3 linked regions of the Oryzias latipes genome follow. The protein of the gene in region 1 purifies or fractionates together with the protein of each later gene. This does not show direct contact. Links are inferred from orthologs where the notes say so. Each region holds a gene or a part of one and is shown in the gene's direction. Other genes may lie near its edges. The genes, in order: protein lin-28 homolog A, sf3b2 and pop1.

Region 1 (6,362 bases):
GTTTTCTACATTGGACAGATCTTGAACAGCCGTTGTAGTGATAAATTAAACATAATGCTTCCTTTTCCTGGCTCTGTGAAAACATCATTTTTACATTTAGGCTACTGTGAAAAAGTCATCCAACAAAAATAATAATAATCACGTGACGTTCAGGTGTCATAAAACGCATGTTTTCTAGCTCCACAAGGGGTCGTTGTGGTCGCAGGGATCCCTTCCCCACTTGTGCCTCTCAAACATCCATCATGCGCCACAAAGGTGGGTCATTTCCAGAAAACATACTTCACATTCTTTGTCAGACGGTAGGCCTTAAAACTAAACTGACCTACCAGACGAGATAAAACAGTTTGTCTCTCAGAGAGTTGCTCAGAACTTTAACCTGAAATGTAAACATGAGGTTTTTTTAGGTTGTTTGATGACAAAGTTAAAAAAAAGTTGTTGTTTTTTTTCACTATAAAACTGCAACAAAATTAAAATATAGAATATAAAAAACATTTTTTGAATACTTATATGTCTGTCGCCATCCATTGCAACTCTACCACTCTTGGCGTGGTCAGATATCTCCTGTTTTTAGCACATCCATCATTCCACGAGGACACGAGTCAGCATCTTAACATGATGTGATCAATCACTATCGATCCATGAATTCGTTTGCATATTTTCATCTCACTCGTGTGTTCACTTATCCAACCGTTGTTTTCTCGTCCTTCTGTTCCATCTGACAGGGTTTTTCCTCTCTTTCGTTCGCATTTGTTTTTGACCATTTTCTGTTGTTAAGACCTCCTTACCGTGTGAAGATATGTTGTTGATTTACCAACAAAATAAATAAAAATAACACTAAAAATGTGTTTTATTTTTTATCCTTAACTCTACCAACCAAGGCAATTATTTTATCAAAAGTCCCAGATTTTTCATTGGGACATTCATTGACTTTTCTTGCAAACCTTTTGGTCAAAATGACCTTTTTTTTGCGTCTCCCTGCAGTTTTACGCATAAATATTTGGGGGGAGAACCATCCAAAAGTACAGCAGGTTTAACTCGTTTATGCAAAAATGATGCCAACGACAAACCAGAAAACTAAAAGGCAATAAATCTGAAGCTGCTGCTGCAGCAGAAAGGATCTCAATGTGGGAAAAAATATATATGAGAATATTGAAATGTGCGTTTGTTGTGATAGGCCCCTCCATCACACAATGCATGTATCCTTGGGGACTGTAATCGTGAATCACGTGGACATGACCGAGAGTGTGGGGGGTTTGTTGGATAAGAAATAGTCATTTATATTGACCAGCAGTGCTTGATCACTGCAGGAGAGCTTGAAGCGCGTTTGGAGGCGGACATCTGGGGCTCGGCAGCCGCGCACTCTGCGACTAAGGGGGCCCACAAACATGGCAGAAGGTACGTTGGGAGTTTTTTTAAGTAGAAAAAAAAAACGAAAGAAAGACAAGAAAAAAAGTCCTTTCTAGAGATGGAGAAGGCTGTTTTGTTTCAGATATTATGGTGGGGGTCTTCAGCAGAAATTCCTCCCCCGGTGACCCCCCCACCTCGTATTGTTTAGGAGGAATAGGTTGCCAGCCCCCTTTTGTTTACCTCCCTCCTGGCTTTCCTCCCTCTTGCTGTGCCGCTTCTGCTTTTCACAGCATTTTGCATGAAAGTGGCAATCTGCGAGGATTACCTTGTGCGCGCGCAGGAGAGGATACTGTAACGTGACTGTAGATTCTGACCCGAACCCGACCTGAAGAACATGGGTTCTGTTTCCAACCAGGAGTTCCCAGGTTGAGTAACTTGATGCGCTAAACTTTGCGAGTTGATGAAGTTGTTTTCTCTGACGTTGTCGGTCCGATTGCAGTGGAACATTTTGGGGGGCTTTGTTCAAACACGTGATGCTTCCAACTCCTGAAATTCTGACGCGCCGAATCCTGCAAGATCATTAATTTTAATCAAACGCGCCTCAACGTGTAGGGAGATTTAAGAGGTTTTATTTTTTAATTACACTAAAGTTCCGACTTAAGTCATCGATTTGTACCAAGTTACGCAAATGACAGTTTTGGCTCGATCCGTGCGTCCTGGCTTTACGCGCAGGGTTTGAAGTGTCCCTCGCGCATTTTTTCATCCACAGGAGTGTGCAAGACAGAAGAAGACGAAGGACCGAGCACAGAGGAGGATTCGCAGTCATTCCATGGAACCGGCGTGTGTAAATGGTTCAACGTCCGCATGGGCTTTGGGTTTCTGTCCATGACCAAGCGGGAGGGAGTGCCGCTGGACGAGCCGGTGGATGTCTTTGTCCACCAGGTGAGCTCCCTTAACGAATTTACTTCTTGTGCCCTCCACAAACACCCAGTATGAAAATGCTAAAAACTTTGAAAGGTTTACCTCAGGTATGGGGATAAAAAGGTCAAGAACAAAGTGCGTAAAACAGAAAAATATCAGGAACTTTTGCTCCAAAATTTGATTTTTTTTGCTGCTCCATTTTCTGCAAAAAAAAAAAAAAAAAAATCGATTGGAGGAGAGCAGAGGGCCTCCATGAGACTTTCACCCCAAAAACAGCGCGAGGGAGACAAAAAAAATGTAGCTCCTTTTAATTAAAATGTCTCAAAACGACATTTTAATGGAGAAAAACACCATTGTAGTCCTAAAGATTTGAAATTATTTAAATACGCTTTTTGTTTACCAAGTTAGGCTACAAAAAACCAACGTATTTTTAAGCTGATATATCTAGATTATTTTTTTAAATGTATTATTATTCATCTGTCCCCTCCTCTGTGGTACCTGATTTGCTACCCAAAGACTTTTAAGTATTATTTTCTTCTCAACCCTTTTTTCCCTGCACTTTAGGTTTTTATTATTCTTTAAATATTTGATTTATCTTTATTTGAAAAAAAAAAGATTTCCTTTTTTATCCACCTTCAAAATGTTAACTGAAGAAGTTGGGGTTTTCCTCCTCTTGCTGTGTAAGAGTGAGAAGCTCCATTTCTGCCTGATAAGATAAAGGTTTAGCATGTGAATGAGAGGCATCTTCACCGGCAGCTCTTTTACCTCAAAGTTCCTGTCATAAAGTGATTAAAGGCTTCTCTGGCTGTCTCTTCAACCCCCTCTGTGTGTGGTACAGACCTATACTTTACAACCAAGAATCTTCTTTGAAGAAGACCCCAGGATTTATTTTGGTAAAGATTCTTGTTCCTACACATCTGTTTCATTAAAACATTCAGAAGCTTTTTTTCTCACAACCTGATTGTTCCTGTTCTCTGCTTTTTGTTCTGTTATTTCTGCATTTCTTTACAGTGATGCATACTGAGAGAAGCATATATGCTCTGTGGAATTGGCGCAACTGAAACTTACAGGAAATATACACTTGATTACTCATATTGTGAACCAAAACCCTGGTGCAGTTGAGAGTAAACCTGCATTAAACCTGCCATGTTTGAGGTTTTATTTTTTATAAAGGATAACTTTTTCAAACTCGGGATTCATTTCTGACACATTATGAGTAAAAATAACAATTTTTCATTTTGGTTTACAATGTTTTGATAAAATTACGGTGCACATCGGACACGTGGATCCTTAAAAAAGATGCCAATCAAGTTAAATTTCTGTCACTAGTGAACGTGTGGATGATTTGACAACGTCATCCGTTCTTTGTGCAGGTGGACAATAGAGCCATGCAACCGAAATGAAGCACCCCTCAGTCGTGATAGAGCCCCTCTTTGTCTCTGCAGAAGTCCTGCCATTGTCCCTCGCTGCTCTGATGTCTTTCTTAGTCCTAATTGACATTTAAAATTTTCTAGAACTCACGCGTCTTATACCTCTGCAACCTTCAAGTATAGAAGCTCAGAGCCGGCTGTTGGAGCTGTTGCTGGTGAGCATCCATTATTAGGGGTGGGGATGGTAACACACGGGAGAGGAAGTGGGTTAATGGTCACCAAGGCAGATAGGCCTGATGGGACAGAGGCCGAATTCTCATGAGCCATTTAGGTGTCATGGCTCAACAGTTGTGTCATCCTGCTGTTCAGGAGCTGTGCTTGAAGCTAAACCCTGTGTAGAACGTGTTTGTCCTTTTAGCTTTATAGTCGAACAGAGCATTTTACAGATTTCTATGTTTTATTTTTTTGTTCCATCAGTCATGAATGCGTCTTCCTATATTGTGTGCTCTGTTTGATTCCCCTCAGACAAAAATACAGAGCATTGGTCAAAAGATTTGGTTTTGCTCAGAATACAATCAAAGAGAAGGGATTACTGTCTACCAAAACAAACCTGACAAATTAATGCACAGCTCCATCTATGTCAACAGTGTGCAGTCTGCGTGACAGGTTAATTTTAGCCGCACCAAGGGATTTTTACAGAGGGGTTTCCCATGATGGAGTTATGCAGTTGAAAGGATTTATCCTTAAACCTGCACCACACCTTTCCTTTCCTTGGGTGGCTTCATTGCTTTAGGTAGCCGAATTGTTCTTTGAATGGGCTGAGAAGAAAAAAAAATGTTTTTCCACCTCAGGTAAGCCTCGTGTTTGTGAAAATAAAGCAGCTGTGTTTGCAGTTTACAGCTCCGGTCACGCCTTTGACACAACAACCGGGTCACAGGTGCAATATTTGGGGAGATATTAGTCATTTGTGCTTTTCCTCACTTGATATCCTTCTTGTCTCTGCCAAACAAGCATCCGAAGAATGTCACCCTGACCCCCCAACCTCCCAGAGAAGCCTTGCTGCTTTGTCACCCCACCCCCAACACGAGCACCAACCCCTGCATCCTGTAGTTAAGGGTTAGTGGTGGTGGTCAGTGTGTTAGTGGAGCTTTGTGATGTGGGTGGGAAGAGGGTTGGGGGTGGGGGCAGCAGAGTGGAATGCTGTTCCTCCAGTGGTGGTGGTGGTGGGGTGGGGGGGGGTGAAGGTTATCCTCGCCAGGTTTACCACTCCCAACACAATGAAAGGACAACGAGGGGTCTTGGTGGTGCACAAACAACCAGGAAGACAGGGACCAGAGGGGATTGTGGGGGGCTGTTTGTTTTTTAGGCGAGGACTGGAGATCACCTTAGACTAACAGATATCTGATAAGTGCCACCAGGCTTTGATGATATCAGGCTGGAAAGAATGGTTGGGGGATGTTCCCAGAGGTCAGACTCTCTGCAAGCTTAATGTGGTGGTAATGTGGGAAAGATGAGGACATCTGATTCCTTAAATGTGTTTAAAGTATTTCTCACTTCCCATCACATGTATGATGTCCGTGACGTTTTAAACCGCATCATCCAACACTTCCATACTAATAAACATTTTTATTTTCCCTCTTGTCAGAGTAAGCTGCACATGGAAGGTTTTCGCAGCCTGAAAGAGGGAGAAGCAGTTGAGTTTACCTACAAGAAGTCATCAAAAGGCCTGGAGTCCCAGCGAGTCACAGGACCAGGAGGCATCTACTGTGTGGGCAGCGAGCGGAGACCGAAAGGCAAAAAGGTCCAAAAGCGACGTTCCAGGTGAGCATTGGAGAGCAACAGGGGGTTTAAATTTACATCTTTGAATTTCCCCATTACCAATTTCACCTGACGCAAATTAAAATTACTTAGAATAAATGCCAGAAATACTTATTTATTGAAATGAACAAGCAAACCAACTATATATTTTATAAAAGCATTTATATGGGAAAGATTATCGTGACAATTGCAATAGATTTATAGTTCTAAAAAAGACCTGACTTCAAAACAATTTTAAGGCACCTTGTATTTAAAAAAATGTACTTAGTTTTGACTGATGTCCTCAAACTGTTTTATTAGAAACTGGTTATAATTGCAATGCTGTTGTAAAACTATTATTTTAAATTGTAAATGCCCATGCAGCAGAAATGAGCAAATAATTCAACAAAAATGAATCTACAGTAGTGTACTTCCTTAAATCATTAAACAATTTGTCAAATCAGTAAAGAAATGTTTAGTTGCCTTATCTGGAGAATGAAAATGACCTGTTCAGAAAAAGTCTTGTTTGGTTTCCATGAGATTTTCCAAACTGTTTTCGCTTCTCTCCCAATTTTCTTCCTTTACTTCATCCCAACCCCCCAGCTCTAACCCAGGCAGGGGTCACGTCAGCATGCCTGACGTGTGACCTGGATCAATAACTGTTTAAATCTGCTTGTCCCTGGTGAATTCAGACCAACCTACTTTCTACTTTCTCCTTTCCCAAAATTTTCTACCATTTTTGCCACCTTAAAACAAAACTTAACAATTGACAGTTTCAGCCTTTGAGGAGCAGTTCTGCTATTAGATTTAGAGTAACTTTAATGATTGAAAAGTTTGTGAAAATTGTTTTAACCAAGTTCTGTTTGACAAAAGTGAGAAATACGCATCCATCCACCCATCCAATATTAACAGTTAACATATTATAAA
Region 2 (6,403 bases), on another chromosome or scaffold:
TGCACTTCCTGTTTATCTGCATGAAGATGCCTCCAACTTCTTCAAGACCTGTACTGTAAGTGTACACAACTCCCTGTCAATGCTTTTCTCTAATCCTTTAATATTGATTGAGATTTTATTGAGTGACATTATAAATAGGCAATTGTTTGTAGTTTGTAAACTGCGTGATATTTTTAAATGGTTTTAAAAATTAGACGGAAGATGAAAGGCGAACATCAGGGACTCCTGATTGGAGGGAGCGGGAACCTTTTCGTTTACCTTTTCTGCTCCTGATCCATCATTATTTGAATAAAGAAAAATGAAGCTTTAGTCTTAAGTTATTTTATAAATGTCCTCCATTTTCAGAAAAATGCTAAAGAACTTTTTAAAAACACAATTTAAATTGGAGTTGGTCCTTAAAGCATCACAGCCAGTTGATTAAAAGCTAACAGAATGTTAGCATGAAAAGATTCACATTGACAGGTGGCAGGAATGTCAGTTTTGGACATTAGTGTGATGAATATCTTTGAGGGTCTGAACTCATCTGTGTTTTTGTTTTGTATTTTCCAGAATACCAGACCTCACAGACACTGCTGTGGGTATCTTCTCAGTTGTCGTGGTGACGCTCCTGATGCTGCCGTCAGTGGTCCCACAGATCTGGCTGACTAATCTCTTCTACTCTTCGGGTACATCTATGCTCTGGACCTACAGAACCCCAAAAAACTCGCCTTCATATTTATTCAGAATGCTGTCTTCAGCCTTGAGGACGGCAAACCACTGAAAGGACATTTATTGACGCTGAAGAATGTTTCGTTGAGTGAGTCTTCCAGAATGGACTATTTGTTGGTTTAAGTGTTATGCAACTGTTTTTGTTGTGATCATTTGCTTTTTCTGCCGTACAATACAAAACCAACACTTTTTGTCAATAAGTTGTGTGGCACCCTTATAATGCAGTTTTATTTCACTGATTGTTTCTTCATCCTCTTGATTTTTGTGATTCTTTTTTTAAAAGAGCAATTAAAAATAGTGTATTAAGCAAACACTATTGTGTGGCTTTCATGTTTGTTGGTTTTCATCAATGTTCGCTTTTAAAATGTTGTAATGGGGCAGTATCAATACATCTGTTTAGAATACATTTCAAGTCCATACATTTTAAGGTGAAGAATTTTAAATATTTTCAATGCTACACATTAAATGAGTTAAAAAATTTATAAAACATTTGAGTGAATTTTACATATTTTATGAGTTGAGTAATATTATAAAAAATATAGTTAGTTGAAGTGTTTTTTTTAGTTGGAAAATATTAAAAACTTTGAGTAAATAATCTCTCTTTTATAAGTTGAGGAATCTTAATATTTTTAATATGAAATAATACAAATTTAAGCCAACTGACAATATAAATTTTAATTAATGTTAACTTAAAAGTTTTAATAATATAACTTAAAAACTATTGCGTAATCTGTTACACAATAATTTTTAAGTTCAGTCAACTCATTAGGGTTTACAGCGATGCATTGGACTGGAATAATGGACTATAATAATCTCCCATTAGTGGGAACAATCACCTAAACACTGACCACTTCTTGGTTTCAATAGTACAATTCCCATCAGCCCTTGTCCTCAAACCAGAATGTTCCCAAGCTGCTTCCGTTTATTACTCACCTGTCTCTCATCTGCAATCACACAACCTCTATATCACTTGTCAAACTTAAGGCCCGCGAGCCAAATACAATACTTGGTGTGTATTCATATCTAAGGGGAATTGGAGTAGAAATATCGGATTGGGCAACTGTACATTAGGACTTAAACACTGTCAATATAACCTAACCTGACAGAATAAAATTTAAAAGGATTTATGCTAGAGTAACAAGCAAACATGTTTTCTGTGCAACTGTGTCACTTTAACAAGTTATAATAAATAAATGAGTTATTTAACATTAAGGAATAATTACGTTTATTTTTCATTATATTTAGTTACCTTTGAGGAGAACCACTATGCTGATGTGGCCCTCGGTGAAAATGAGTTGGACACCCCTGCTATATATACAGAAAACTAGCTCACATTACAAAAAGTTGTGGCACATATTTACCTTTATACTTGTAACTTCTGTTAATTTCAATTCTTAACAACCCAAAATCAATTTAACAAATTATACAGCATCACGTATTTGAGCCCTGCCCTGTCATGGATTTGATTTTGTTCTAGTACAAAGAAAATGCGAATATACTTCAATGTCTTTAGTAGTAGTATATTAGTAGTTGTTGTTGTCATTCATTGTAGTAGCAGTAGTAGTAGCAGCAATGGGACAACGTTTTTACATTATTTACACAAATATATCAATTTGTTTACAAAAAAAACGTTTTCAAAAATCATATTTCAACCAGTTAACGGGCCAACACTGACACCCAGAGACGTCCGTAGGAAAATTAAAGGAAAATTTACAACTTCATATCCCTAAGACCATTGCGTTTCTCCCATAATGCCTTGCTTTTTTTTCTTGTTCTCGTTTCTGTCTCTCGCGAGTTTATCTCTTTTTTCCACCGCCGTTGATCGACTGCTCAACATGGCTTCTGACGGACCGCCGGGCACGGACCCGAATGATTTAGGTAGTGTAATCGCAGCATTAAACACATGGAGCGTCCCAGAGCTTCAGGGGAAGCTGGTGGAGCTAGGAGCTCCAACAATGGGTAAGAAAAGCTCCCATATAGTGCAAAAATCAAAGCGCGTTGTTTTGAAGCTAGCTTACGGCTAGCATTAGCTTGGAGCACATAGTCGTTGAACCTCCGTCATAAAGCGCTCCAACAACAGGCCCGCAGAATGGTTTGACTCCGTTTAGTATTTTCATATGCATATTTTAAAAGCCGTTTTTGTCTAATATTTTACAGTTGGAATACCAAACGTAACAATTGATTGCTTTTGATGATTTCTTACAAAAACTAGCTAAGTTTTTGCTGATGATGATGATCGACAGTTCCATTGTTGTGAACTGCTTAGGATTTGCTAATAATGTGATCAATAATTGGTATTTTACGTCATATGGTACTCTGATTACGTTAATAAATAACTCCAAACCGATGAATTATTATTAAAATAAAATACAATGGTCGTGCTTCTCTTAATTTAGGCTCTAGAGAGGAACTCATTGACAGACTGAAGGGCTACATGATGCAGGTAAGCTCATCCTCGAAATCAACATCACACCCACACAAATGCAACTTCCCATTCTTAATTCATTTTTTTTCTTGTTGATTTTAAAAACTATTATTCAAATGGATAATAATAAAATGTTTTTGAGGGTTTTATACCAATAGTTTGGGTAATCTCTCTTGTAGCCCTTCACATTGAGCCATTAAAACGGTGTGGAACGTTTTTTAAATTTTACGATGTCTATCTGGATTTATGTATGTTTAATTTTGTAAAATGTTTTAGTATGCTGTATAGGGATAATAGTTCAATTGCAAAAATCTCAAGTTAATATGGCAACAAACAACTAAGGGAAATCATTTCATTAGTAGCCTAACAAAGAATAATTGGTTGGCTAATGAAGGCTATTGAGTGGACTTAGTTTTGACTGTTTTTAACTTATCTGCATTGTTCAACTTCTGAATTTATAAATCAGACTGTAGACATGTGATGTTTAGCTAATTTTTAATGTGTCAGGTGGAAAAGCAAAAATAAATGGCCCAAAATAAAAATAAAAAAGATTAATTTCATATCAGTCAGCCTCCTATCTATTGCTCTTTTCACAATATTTTCATTTCTTTTTTTCAGGTGCCGAGCATTCCTCCCATGCCCCCGATGCCCATGCCACCTATGCCCCCAGGGATGGGAATGATCCCAGCAATGAACATGATACCCCCTGGAGCTCCTCCCTCTGGCATGCACATGACAATGGATCATCCAAACATGCCACCTCCTGGTCTCACACAGGACGATCAGCTTAAAATGGTTCAGCAGAGAGCTGCCATTGTGTTACAACAGGAAGAAAGGGCCAAGCATCAGGTGGGATGGCAGAACTGGCCAACTGCTGCATTTGACACATTAATCGCTAATATTGTAGTACTCGGCAAAACAAAATTACTGGACTGTATTTAAACATTGTAAGTTTTACAAAGTAAATTAGGTAAAAACAACGATCATAGATACAATTTTTCAATGTATTTGGGTAAAGCCAACATTTTTTACTAGAGACCTTTAACAGAAAACACCTAAACAGTCACATTTGCTAAACATTGGCCTTTTTTTGTTTGGCTAAAACAGGGGGACGAAAATGAACTTCTGGAGCAGCAGCAACGGGTAAGGAATTGCAAACAACACATTTTGTTCAGCTGTCAATTAAAATAAGGAAGACATTTATTTTCTTTGTTTCTTATTGTGATTTTATATTGCTTGCATCTCTCATTCATTTCTTCCTTAGGCTGCCGTGCTGCTGGAACAAGAACGACATCATGAAATGGCAAAGATGCAGCCAGCTGTCTCTGCAGTAAGAGGTTTGTGGAATATCCTAAAACCTTTTACAAGTGATTCCATTCAAGATCAATGTCACAAAATGTTTGTCAAGGGAAGACGTCTCTGCTTCCTACAGTGTTGCAAGCTGACGTTAAACCAGCATTTAATAGTATATTTTTACATTATCAATCACAAATTTGTTTTTTTCACAAAACCAAAGTTTCAGTTTTGGATCCTCACGGGCCTTTACCTCCTGGTGTCACCTTGTTGCCATCTCATAAACAAAAGGTGCCACCCCCTCCAGGAGAAGATAACAGAGACGTACGTTTTTCCTGCACTTCTCTAATTTTTGTTTTAGACATAGGTTAACACTAATTCTGGTGTGATTTAAGCAAAGTTAGATTCTTTTGAAGTTTTTTTAAACTCTTTGAACTTTTTTGATTAAAATGCGACAACCTGCTGGTTTAGTGTTAAACTGCAATTCCTTTCTTCCTGCAGATCTGGCAGAATGAAGAGATTAGTGTTGGCGGGCCCAAGATCCCACAGGCTCTGGAGAAGATCCTTCAGCTGAAGGAGATCAGGCAGGAGCAGCTTGTCGATCCAGCAGGTTAGACTTACAAAATAAAATATCTCCAGATTCTTTACATTCACTGTTACTGTCGTAAGGTATGGCCCCTAAAACATTTTTATTTTAGGGTATAGCATGGATATGTGTTTTTTGGTTATTTAATTTAAAGTCTGATTTTTTTTTTTTTTTTGCTTTATTTTTTTCAACAGAACCTGATCTGCCTTAAGTGTGATTTTTTTTATTACTGATTATAAAACCAAAACAAAAAAGCATAGTTAAAACTTTAATCAAGATGGTTGAAGCTTGTCAGCAACTAGGAAGCACGTTTGGAGAAAGAATCACTGTTTTTACTTCCCTTTGCTTTGTTTTAGATGATGTTGAAGATATGGATGCAACAAATTCTTCTGCAGCAGTAATGTCTGAAGACGACGAAGATGGCCAGATGTCCAAAAAAGATGTAAGGGGGATCAAATTCAACAACTTTGGATGCCAATTTTCTTCGTTTTTGTATAGTGTTTAAAGTATATTTAGAATTGTGTTTGACAGAGGGTTTTAAAATTGAATGTTTTTTTTTTTTTTTTTTTTTTTTTAGAAAAATTGCAAGCGCAGGAACAGAAAAAAGAAGAGCAAGAAGAAGCGAGCGCAAGAGAAGAAGGAACAGGCTGAGCAGCAAATAAAGGAGAGCAGCACCAAGCAAAAGGACAAGGAGAAGGAGACAGAGGTGGAGATTGAGTACATCACAGAGGACCTGGAGATTTACGACCCCAACTATATCTTCTTCAAAAAGATTTTTGAGGCATTTAAGGTAGCTTAAGCATATTGTACACAGACAGAAGCTATGTTGGTGCTTTGCTTTGCATCTTTATTTTTTTTGTTTTAAAGTTAACTGATGATGTGAAAAAAGAGAAGGACAAAGAGCCAGAGAAAACTGAAAAGCTGGAACCAGTGGGTATGATGCGGAAGAAGGGGTTTGAGCTGGAGAGGAAGGACAGCGATGATAGCGATGAGGTATGCATCATTTCCTTTGGAAACTCAACTCGGAGATGAAAAACATTTCAAGATCAACACAAAATGTTTTGGGTGTACAGGAAGCCAAACAAGATGTTCCTAAACTGTCCAAAAAGAAGCTGCGGCGGATGAACCGGCTCACTGTAGCTGAACTCAAACAGGTACTGACCAATGTGGCTCTGTTGTCCCACAGAAGTGTTGTTCTTTACAATAATCTTTCTTTTCTTGACATTTTCCAGCTGGTGGCTCGTCCAGATGTTGTGGAGATGCACGATGTGACTGCACAGGAGCCCAAGCTGCTGGTTCACCTAAAGGCCACCAGGAACACAGTTCCTGTGCCTCGCCACTGGTGCTTCAAGAGGAAGTATCTGCAGGGCAAGAGAGGGATTGAGAAGCCT
Region 3 (6,414 bases), about 16 Mb from region 1:
AAAAAAACCTTCTGCATTTGCTTCACCTTGTGGTGAGAAGTCAACATGTTTTCTTTTCCCTGCATTTGTGATCATTGCAACTTGAAAGAAAATACTCAATTCATGATTCTCAAGTTCCTTGATCTGTAGCTCAACAAAAAAAAATCTGCACCTTAGTTACACTTTAGAGTCCCACTCTGATCATCTTTTGATCCGTTTTCAAAGCGTTCCCGGTGTTCTTTTAATTATGATTATGCCAAGTTTAGCCAAAACCAGGAATCCTGGGTCGTTTTCCAGGACATAATTTCTGCAGAGCGACAGTAGTACAGTAGTCGTGAAAGCCTGCCCCCTTTCCATCATCTGTTTACCCCGTCTTCCACTAGCTTACGTTCCCTCGTATCCCCAACCTAACATTGGCGGTGCAACAAAAATGGCGAGCAATATCGGAGCCGTGGAGATTCCAGCTCAGACGAGAAAAATGAGGACACACACGTGTCTATTTGTCTACAAGTGGATGCATCAGAATGGAGAGGGGCAGGGAGCTAGTGGCCCACTGGGGTAACTTGTCAGCCACACTTACAAGCTTTTTCCAGCTGCATTTTTGCATCTGCTCCTGATTTACAACAATTGGAAGAAATACCCAGACATGCTATTATAAGCTTAATTTCTTTATATGTCCTTAATTATCAGAAAAAGGTCACAAGAACATGTTAAAAACACCAAAAAAACTCATTTTCGTAAAGGTGGGTCTTTAGCTTGTTCACAATCCACCTTTGTAGTTTGAGAAGGAAAGCTACAAATGTTTTAAGAGAAGCCGTGTGGTCACCTGTCTGGTTTGTGCTTGAACGCCTCCTTCCACCAGCTGTGTGGTGGCGGGATCCATCCCCAGCTGTCCTGATATGAACATGGTCCGATCAACCAGCACCGCCTGGCTGGAAGACAACAGCACCACAGTATCAGCCTATTTCAAAAAGATTTCATGGAAAAATAAAAAATCATGTCTACAGCTGCAATGTAGGTTTTATGATTAAATTCATTTTATAAGCTAACTTTTACTTTGAAAGCTTTTTTTTTGTGAGGAAAAAAAACAAAAAAAGCTTCAGGTTAATAGTTTTTAGAGACCAGACAAAAGTTTACTCTAAAGTCAAAAATAATTTGAGTTGGTCAAAGAAATAAATCAAAAGGAAAATGGAAGGGGGGGCGGGGGGGGGCGGACACACGGTATGATTATGTTAAGGCTGCATTTAGATTAATTTAAGATTAGGCAAATTTCATTTGATTTTTATTATTCGTTTTTATTTGTAATTATATTAAATATTAGAACTCAAATAAAAGTTTCTTAAAGAAATATGGTTAACAGCAGCTAAACTTTTCCACAGTGGTGCGGTGTAAAGTCCACAGTGAAGAAGCGTGCACTTGTTTGTTTGGTGTAGTGTCCGTCCAGAGACGGTCGGATTCGTACTCCGCTCACCTGTATGGACCGATGGCAGCAGGAGCTTTAGTCGTGCTGATGATCTTCTTGATTAACGCAGACATGTTTCTGAACTCATGCAGGGTGAAAGCAGGCGTGTGAAGGCGAAAACACGAAGGGAAACTAATTTATAAATAAAGATTGGGAAAAAAACGACGGAGAACAGTTGGATCCGCCTTACCGTAAATGACAACTAACAGTCGCAAAATGTACCTGACTTTTTAAAGAAAGTTATTTTGTCTTAATTTTTTTTACAGTAAAATTATATATTTATAGTGAAGCAAGAAAAAAACAACGCTATCCTAAAAGATAAATTGCTATGTCGACGTGTTTTCTCCTGACTCGCTAGTCTTTTCGGCAACTGAACTACAAATTCCAAGAGTACCACGAACCCGGAAGCAAATCGACGTAAGCTGACATTAATTAAACCCATGTGGTTGTTAGCTGTAGCGACAACATTGAACTGCATCCGACTTAATTTTGTGATAGACATTTTTGATTTACCTCTTTTTTATACATAAGTTACGTTTGAATCAGTCTGCTAGATCCAAGTTTGGGAGAAAAAACTTCAGATTCAGTGTGAGCTAACGTAGCTAGCTGGCTTATTATTTGGACTTTTTCGGGATTTCTTCTTTTTATTTATGTTTTGTGGCGGTTAAGACTAGAGAAAATGTCTGCTTCCAAGGTGAAGATGAGGGACAGGAAGATGAAGAACCAGCCTGCCAGCGTGCAGTATTCGTCTCCTTCCGCCGCGGCGGGTAGCAGCAGCCAGAACGGACGACAAGAAGCGAAGGACTCCGGTATTGACACGGCCCACTGTCACGAGTGGGGACTGCCGCTGCGTGGTCAGCACATGGTGGCGGCAGGCCACTCAGCCCTGCATTCACTGTGTGCTTTTCCCCTTAGCCTTTTATATGATTGACATTTAGGTGGCATGATGATGCTGGTCAGAAAGACACAACATCAGTGTTGTCTTGTATATTCTGCATTAAAATTCTCTAAATGTCCTGACCACACATGTCTGACGCCTCATTAAAGGAAACAGTGGTTTGAAAAGCAAAACGCTGTTTGTTCTGATCTTTTCTGCTAGGATGGCAGAGGAACCCTCCTCCCAGGACTGGATGGGTTCGTGGAAATCAGAGAGATGGAGGAGGAGGTTACATGAAGGAGATGCCCAAATACATCACCGGTGAGGAGACGCTTCACTCCTGCAAACACAGGCAAAAGTTGTTTATGTCACGAACTTCATTTATGAGCAGAATCCCTTCATATGCACAACATCAACCACATTTCCCATGACATTTGGGAAATTATTTGACAAAGGCGATGGCAGCTTTCTTTTTTTTTCCCTTTACCATTTGATGCCTTTTCTTTAAACACTTTCTTGTTAATTCCTAAAAACAATTAAAATGCTGGGAAACCTTATAAATGGTCTGTCAGAGCCCCTTTTTCCTACAGTTTCCTAAAAGTCCTTCTATTGTTCTCCTCACCAAGCTGGAGCGTTTGCCAGGAGCAGGGCTGCAGAGGTGAAGGCCATGCTGAAAGCAGTGACCAAGAGAACGGGCAGCAACCATGTCTTCCAGGCTCTGCCCAAACACATGAGGAGACGCGCCATGAGCCACAACACCAAGAGGCTTCCCCGCAGGCTGAGAGATGTGGCGAGCAAAATGGTAATTTCTGCAAATGCTCTCAGCTGCTTTAGTGATTCATCCATGCTCCGTGTGCGCTCACATACGCTCCTCCATCAGCGGGAAAAGAGCCTCCAGGCCGGCTCGAAGAAGAAGAAGGAGCTACCAAAGAGTAAAAGCCGCAAAGCTCGCCGGCGCCACGGCAACCTGTTGCTGGAGTTCAATCGCCGCCAGCGCAAGAACATTTGGTTAGAGACGCACATTTGGCACGCCAAGCGTTTCCACATGGTAAAGAAGTGGGGTTACCGTCTCGGGGACAGACCAACGTGCAAGTGCTACCGGCCGTGCTATAGAGCAATGAGCAGCCACTGCCTGCTGCTGGTAAAACACTCTGTTTTTATTTATATGAAAACATCCAGGAGATAGATAAACTGCTTTTTTTTAGTTATTTTTTTCATCTATGCAGGACATTTCTTATTACTGCTGCATTGAGCTGCAGGGAGAGGAGGACACGCTGTTGACTGCTCTGTCACAGCTGACCAGCAAGGAGACGGGTGAGGGCTGTTACTACTTTCTTTTTACCACGTTAAAAAAAAAAAACACAGGCTGCCTTTTTTGACTTTCTGAGACTAATTTAAAGATCCACCCTGATGAAAAGGTGCTTTTGGTGTTTTTAACTTGTTCTTGTGGCATTTTTGTGATGGTTCAGGAAATGTATAAAGAAAATTTGGATTGAAAGTGCATTTCAGCACAATCATGATCAAAAGACCACTGGGAACACTTGAAAATAGATCGTAAGATGATCAAAGTGGGACTTTAAGTACGGTAATAAAACTCTGAATTGTGGTTGACATTTTTCCAGGCCCTACCTTTGCTGCAGCTCTGTGCCTGTCTGGGTGCAGACAGGGCAGCGTTACGGTGTACAGAGCGGGGCAGTACCCCTCACACCCTCTGGGCCCCGTCACATTTCTTTGGAGACCTCGAGCAGAAGGCTCAGCCAGCAGGCAGCTGTGGATCTGGGCGCATCCCGCTCTGAAGCAGGTAAACGGCTGCTTTTAAATCCTCACAGGGGGGTTTGGGTTGTTGGTACACCAGTCAGTGTCGAGTCAGTCACAGCAAGCTGGTTGATTTCAGCTGATGTGTTCCTCTTCAGGATCTTCTCCCAGAGTTGCAAAGAGTGTGTGAGTGCTTTGAGGCGGTGGTGCCCCCGGTTATCCCAGTGGCCACACCTGCAGAGTCTGCTTCCACCCTGGAGTCTGAGCCAAAGCCTGAGGTCTCCCCTAAAGCCAAGGTGACACCTGGAGGAAAGAGGAAACGGAGCCGTGTGGACGCAGGTGGACCTCCTGCTAAGAAGATCTTGGGAGACGGAACCAGATCACCCGACACTCCAGTCACCTGGAAGTCCAGCTCAACTGGAATCGTAATAAAGTCAGTGAATGAACTGAGCAACTGTTTGGAGGAGGTGATTCTGTTTCATTCACGTATCTGGTCATCTGTCGTAGCGATCTCACGATGGAGATGGTACGCTACCGCCTGGTCGGACCTCAGTCTCATTCTGTGCTAACAGAAAGCTTGGAGGCAGCCACAGACTGTGATGTGAGTGTTGTGAAAGGGTTCTCCTGATCAAAAATAACCTACTCGACAAAATTATAGATGAGTTCTGTTTTTAAGGAGGCGGGTCAGTCCCAGGCTTCTTCTCTGTGGTGGCCTCAGCACTGTAGAGATGAGAGGAAGATGAATCTGCATCAACAACAAGCAGAGGTCTTTAAGACACTGAAAGGTTGGAGCTCTGCTGCTTTGTGCTTTTTCCTCTCCTTGGTCCTGATCACTGACTTTGCTTTCATGTCTCATGTGCAGGCATCTATTCATCTGGAGAGGTGCCCCCTGGCACGGTGCTGGGTCTGACTGTGGATGACCCCAGATTGACTTTACCGGCAAAGAAGGTTAAAGCAATGCCCAGTGTAAACCAGAGTCAAGGTAAAATCTGACCTTCTGGACAGACTGGAGGAGGGCGGGTCGTTATGCTGCACATGTCACAACATGAACTGCTGCGCTAGACGTTAATGCAACACTGTCGGTCACCAAAGGTCCTGAGGGTGTTTCACTGAGTACGTTTCTGGTTCTGTGCTCCTGGGGGCCTCTGCCCAGCCATGCAGATGTTCCAGGTTCGAATCCTGGCAGGACCTTGTACTCCAGTCTCACCCTCAGCGACTGAGCAGCCGATTTGAACATTATTGTCTCATGGATCAGTTCGGATCTGCCCTTCACATTGAGTTCTCAAGCACACAATGAAGTGAATTCAGTAATTTACTTGTTTTTGTCACATGTACAACAAAATACAAAAGTGCTCTTAGGTCAGAGTGTGTCGTTCATTGTAAAAACACAAAAGTAAATAATTTGCAACTAATAATAAGTGCCTCATTTGTTCATTCATTTTTAATAATAAATTGAAAGGTGCATCATTTAAAAACCGATTTACAACTACTGAAAGTTGCACCAGTTATTAAAATCAAGAAGGTACAATTGGAAAGGAGTGTTAAAATTGTTAATATTAATAAATTTACTTTAAAAAAATCACTTTTTATTCTCTGATTTACAATGTGCAGAATGAACTAAAAGTGAAATAAAAAAATCTTTATGACTACCCTGTTACCGGGAAGTTTATAGCAGTTTACATCAGTGCAAAGGATAAAAAGTGCAGCAATATTTCTAATTTCTGTAAGATTCCAGTCAAAATAATAGTATATTTATCATCCATTTAAATCAGACACACCTGTTGGTTTCTCCTAATTGTGTATTCGGTATATTTCAATATTAGATTATATAATCCTACTTTCTAGTTTTATATTAACAGTATAAACTTGGGTAAAAATAATGTTTTGATTTAAGGAATTGTTTGATCATTTTTAATTGAACATTAGAATTCTGGGAGTAAGAGGATGGAATTCTGGAGGCTGATTTTCAGGAAGGTTGTGTTTGTTTCCACAGAGGCAGACGAGGAGAAGAGACGGCAGCTGATGTTACGAGGCGTCCCGCAGCTCTGCAGCCAGAGCTGCTTGTGGGAACAGTCTGTGCGAGACAATGTCACCGAAAACAAGATCTCTGAGCAGGTTCACCCGTGATCTCCATCTGCCTTTGTAGCCCCTCCTGTCTCAGCTGCTTCATCTCCGAGCAGGTGTGAGCAGAAGCTGTCTGTGTTGCTGCCTGCAGGAGCTGAACCGCATGAGGAGTGAGCTGCTGATTCCAGGCTCCAGGCTGAGCCCCACTCCACTGCAGGGCCGAATCCCCATCCTCCTGGTTCATCAGCCGGGCAAACAAGTGGGAAATGACATGAGC

What was found.
Region 2: the proteins of protein lin-28 homolog A (region 1) and sf3b2 purify together in Homo sapiens (affinity purification with mass spectrometry; 3 studies listed by BioGRID and IntAct, with this or other methods). This does not show direct contact. The link is inferred for Oryzias latipes from reciprocal best matches to the Homo sapiens genes LIN28A and SF3B2.
Region 3: the proteins of protein lin-28 homolog A (region 1) and pop1 purify together in Homo sapiens (affinity purification with mass spectrometry; 3 studies listed by BioGRID and IntAct, with this or other methods). This does not show direct contact. The link is inferred for Oryzias latipes from reciprocal best matches to the Homo sapiens genes LIN28A and POP1.

What each region holds. Positions count from the first base shown.
Region 1 is NC_019874.2:22,831,461-22,837,822, reverse strand, and holds the start of protein lin-28 homolog A, read left to right. Parts: upstream 1-1,617; 5' UTR 1,618-1,741; coding exon 1,742-1,772; intron 1,773-2,116; coding exon 2,117-2,289; intron 2,290-5,283; coding exon 5,284-5,459; intron 5,460-6,362. UniProt on the Homo sapiens protein: RNA-binding protein that inhibits processing of pre-let-7 miRNAs and regulates translation of mRNAs that control developmental timing, pluripotency and metabolism.
Region 2 is NC_019876.2:19,502,949-19,509,351, reverse strand, and holds the start of sf3b2 (splicing factor 3B subunit 2), read left to right. Parts: upstream 1-2,463; 5' UTR 2,464-2,543; coding exon 2,544-2,667; intron 2,668-3,104; coding exon 3,105-3,151; intron 3,152-3,751; coding exon 3,752-3,982; intron 3,983-4,240; coding exon 4,241-4,276; intron 4,277-4,397; coding exon 4,398-4,470; intron 4,471-4,649; coding exon 4,650-4,750; intron 4,751-4,927; coding exon 4,928-5,036; intron 5,037-5,368; coding exon 5,369-5,454; intron 5,455-5,589; coding exon 5,590-5,802; intron 5,803-5,879; coding exon 5,880-6,005; intron 6,006-6,085; coding exon 6,086-6,166; intron 6,167-6,244; coding exon 6,245-6,403. UniProt on the Homo sapiens protein: Component of the 17S U2 SnRNP complex of the spliceosome, a large ribonucleoprotein complex that removes introns from transcribed pre-mRNAs.
Region 3 is NC_019874.2:6,455,195-6,461,608, reverse strand, and holds the start of pop1 (ribonucleases P/MRP protein subunit POP1), read left to right. Parts: upstream 1-1,710; 5' UTR 1,711-2,120; coding exon 2,121-2,250; intron 2,251-2,540; coding exon 2,541-2,639; intron 2,640-2,944; coding exon 2,945-3,120; intron 3,121-3,198; coding exon 3,199-3,459; intron 3,460-3,544; coding exon 3,545-3,632; intron 3,633-3,940; coding exon 3,941-4,119; intron 4,120-4,231; coding exon 4,232-4,506; intron 4,507-4,580; coding exon 4,581-4,674; intron 4,675-4,749; coding exon 4,750-4,858; intron 4,859-4,935; coding exon 4,936-5,055; intron 5,056-6,066; coding exon 6,067-6,188; intron 6,189-6,288; coding exon 6,289-6,414. Other genes in the region: rida (2-iminobutanoate/2-iminopropanoate deaminase), read right to left, coding at 806-911, 1,451-1,515. UniProt on the Homo sapiens protein: Component of ribonuclease P, a ribonucleoprotein complex that generates mature tRNA molecules by cleaving their 5'-ends. Also a component of the MRP ribonuclease complex, which cleaves pre-rRNA sequences.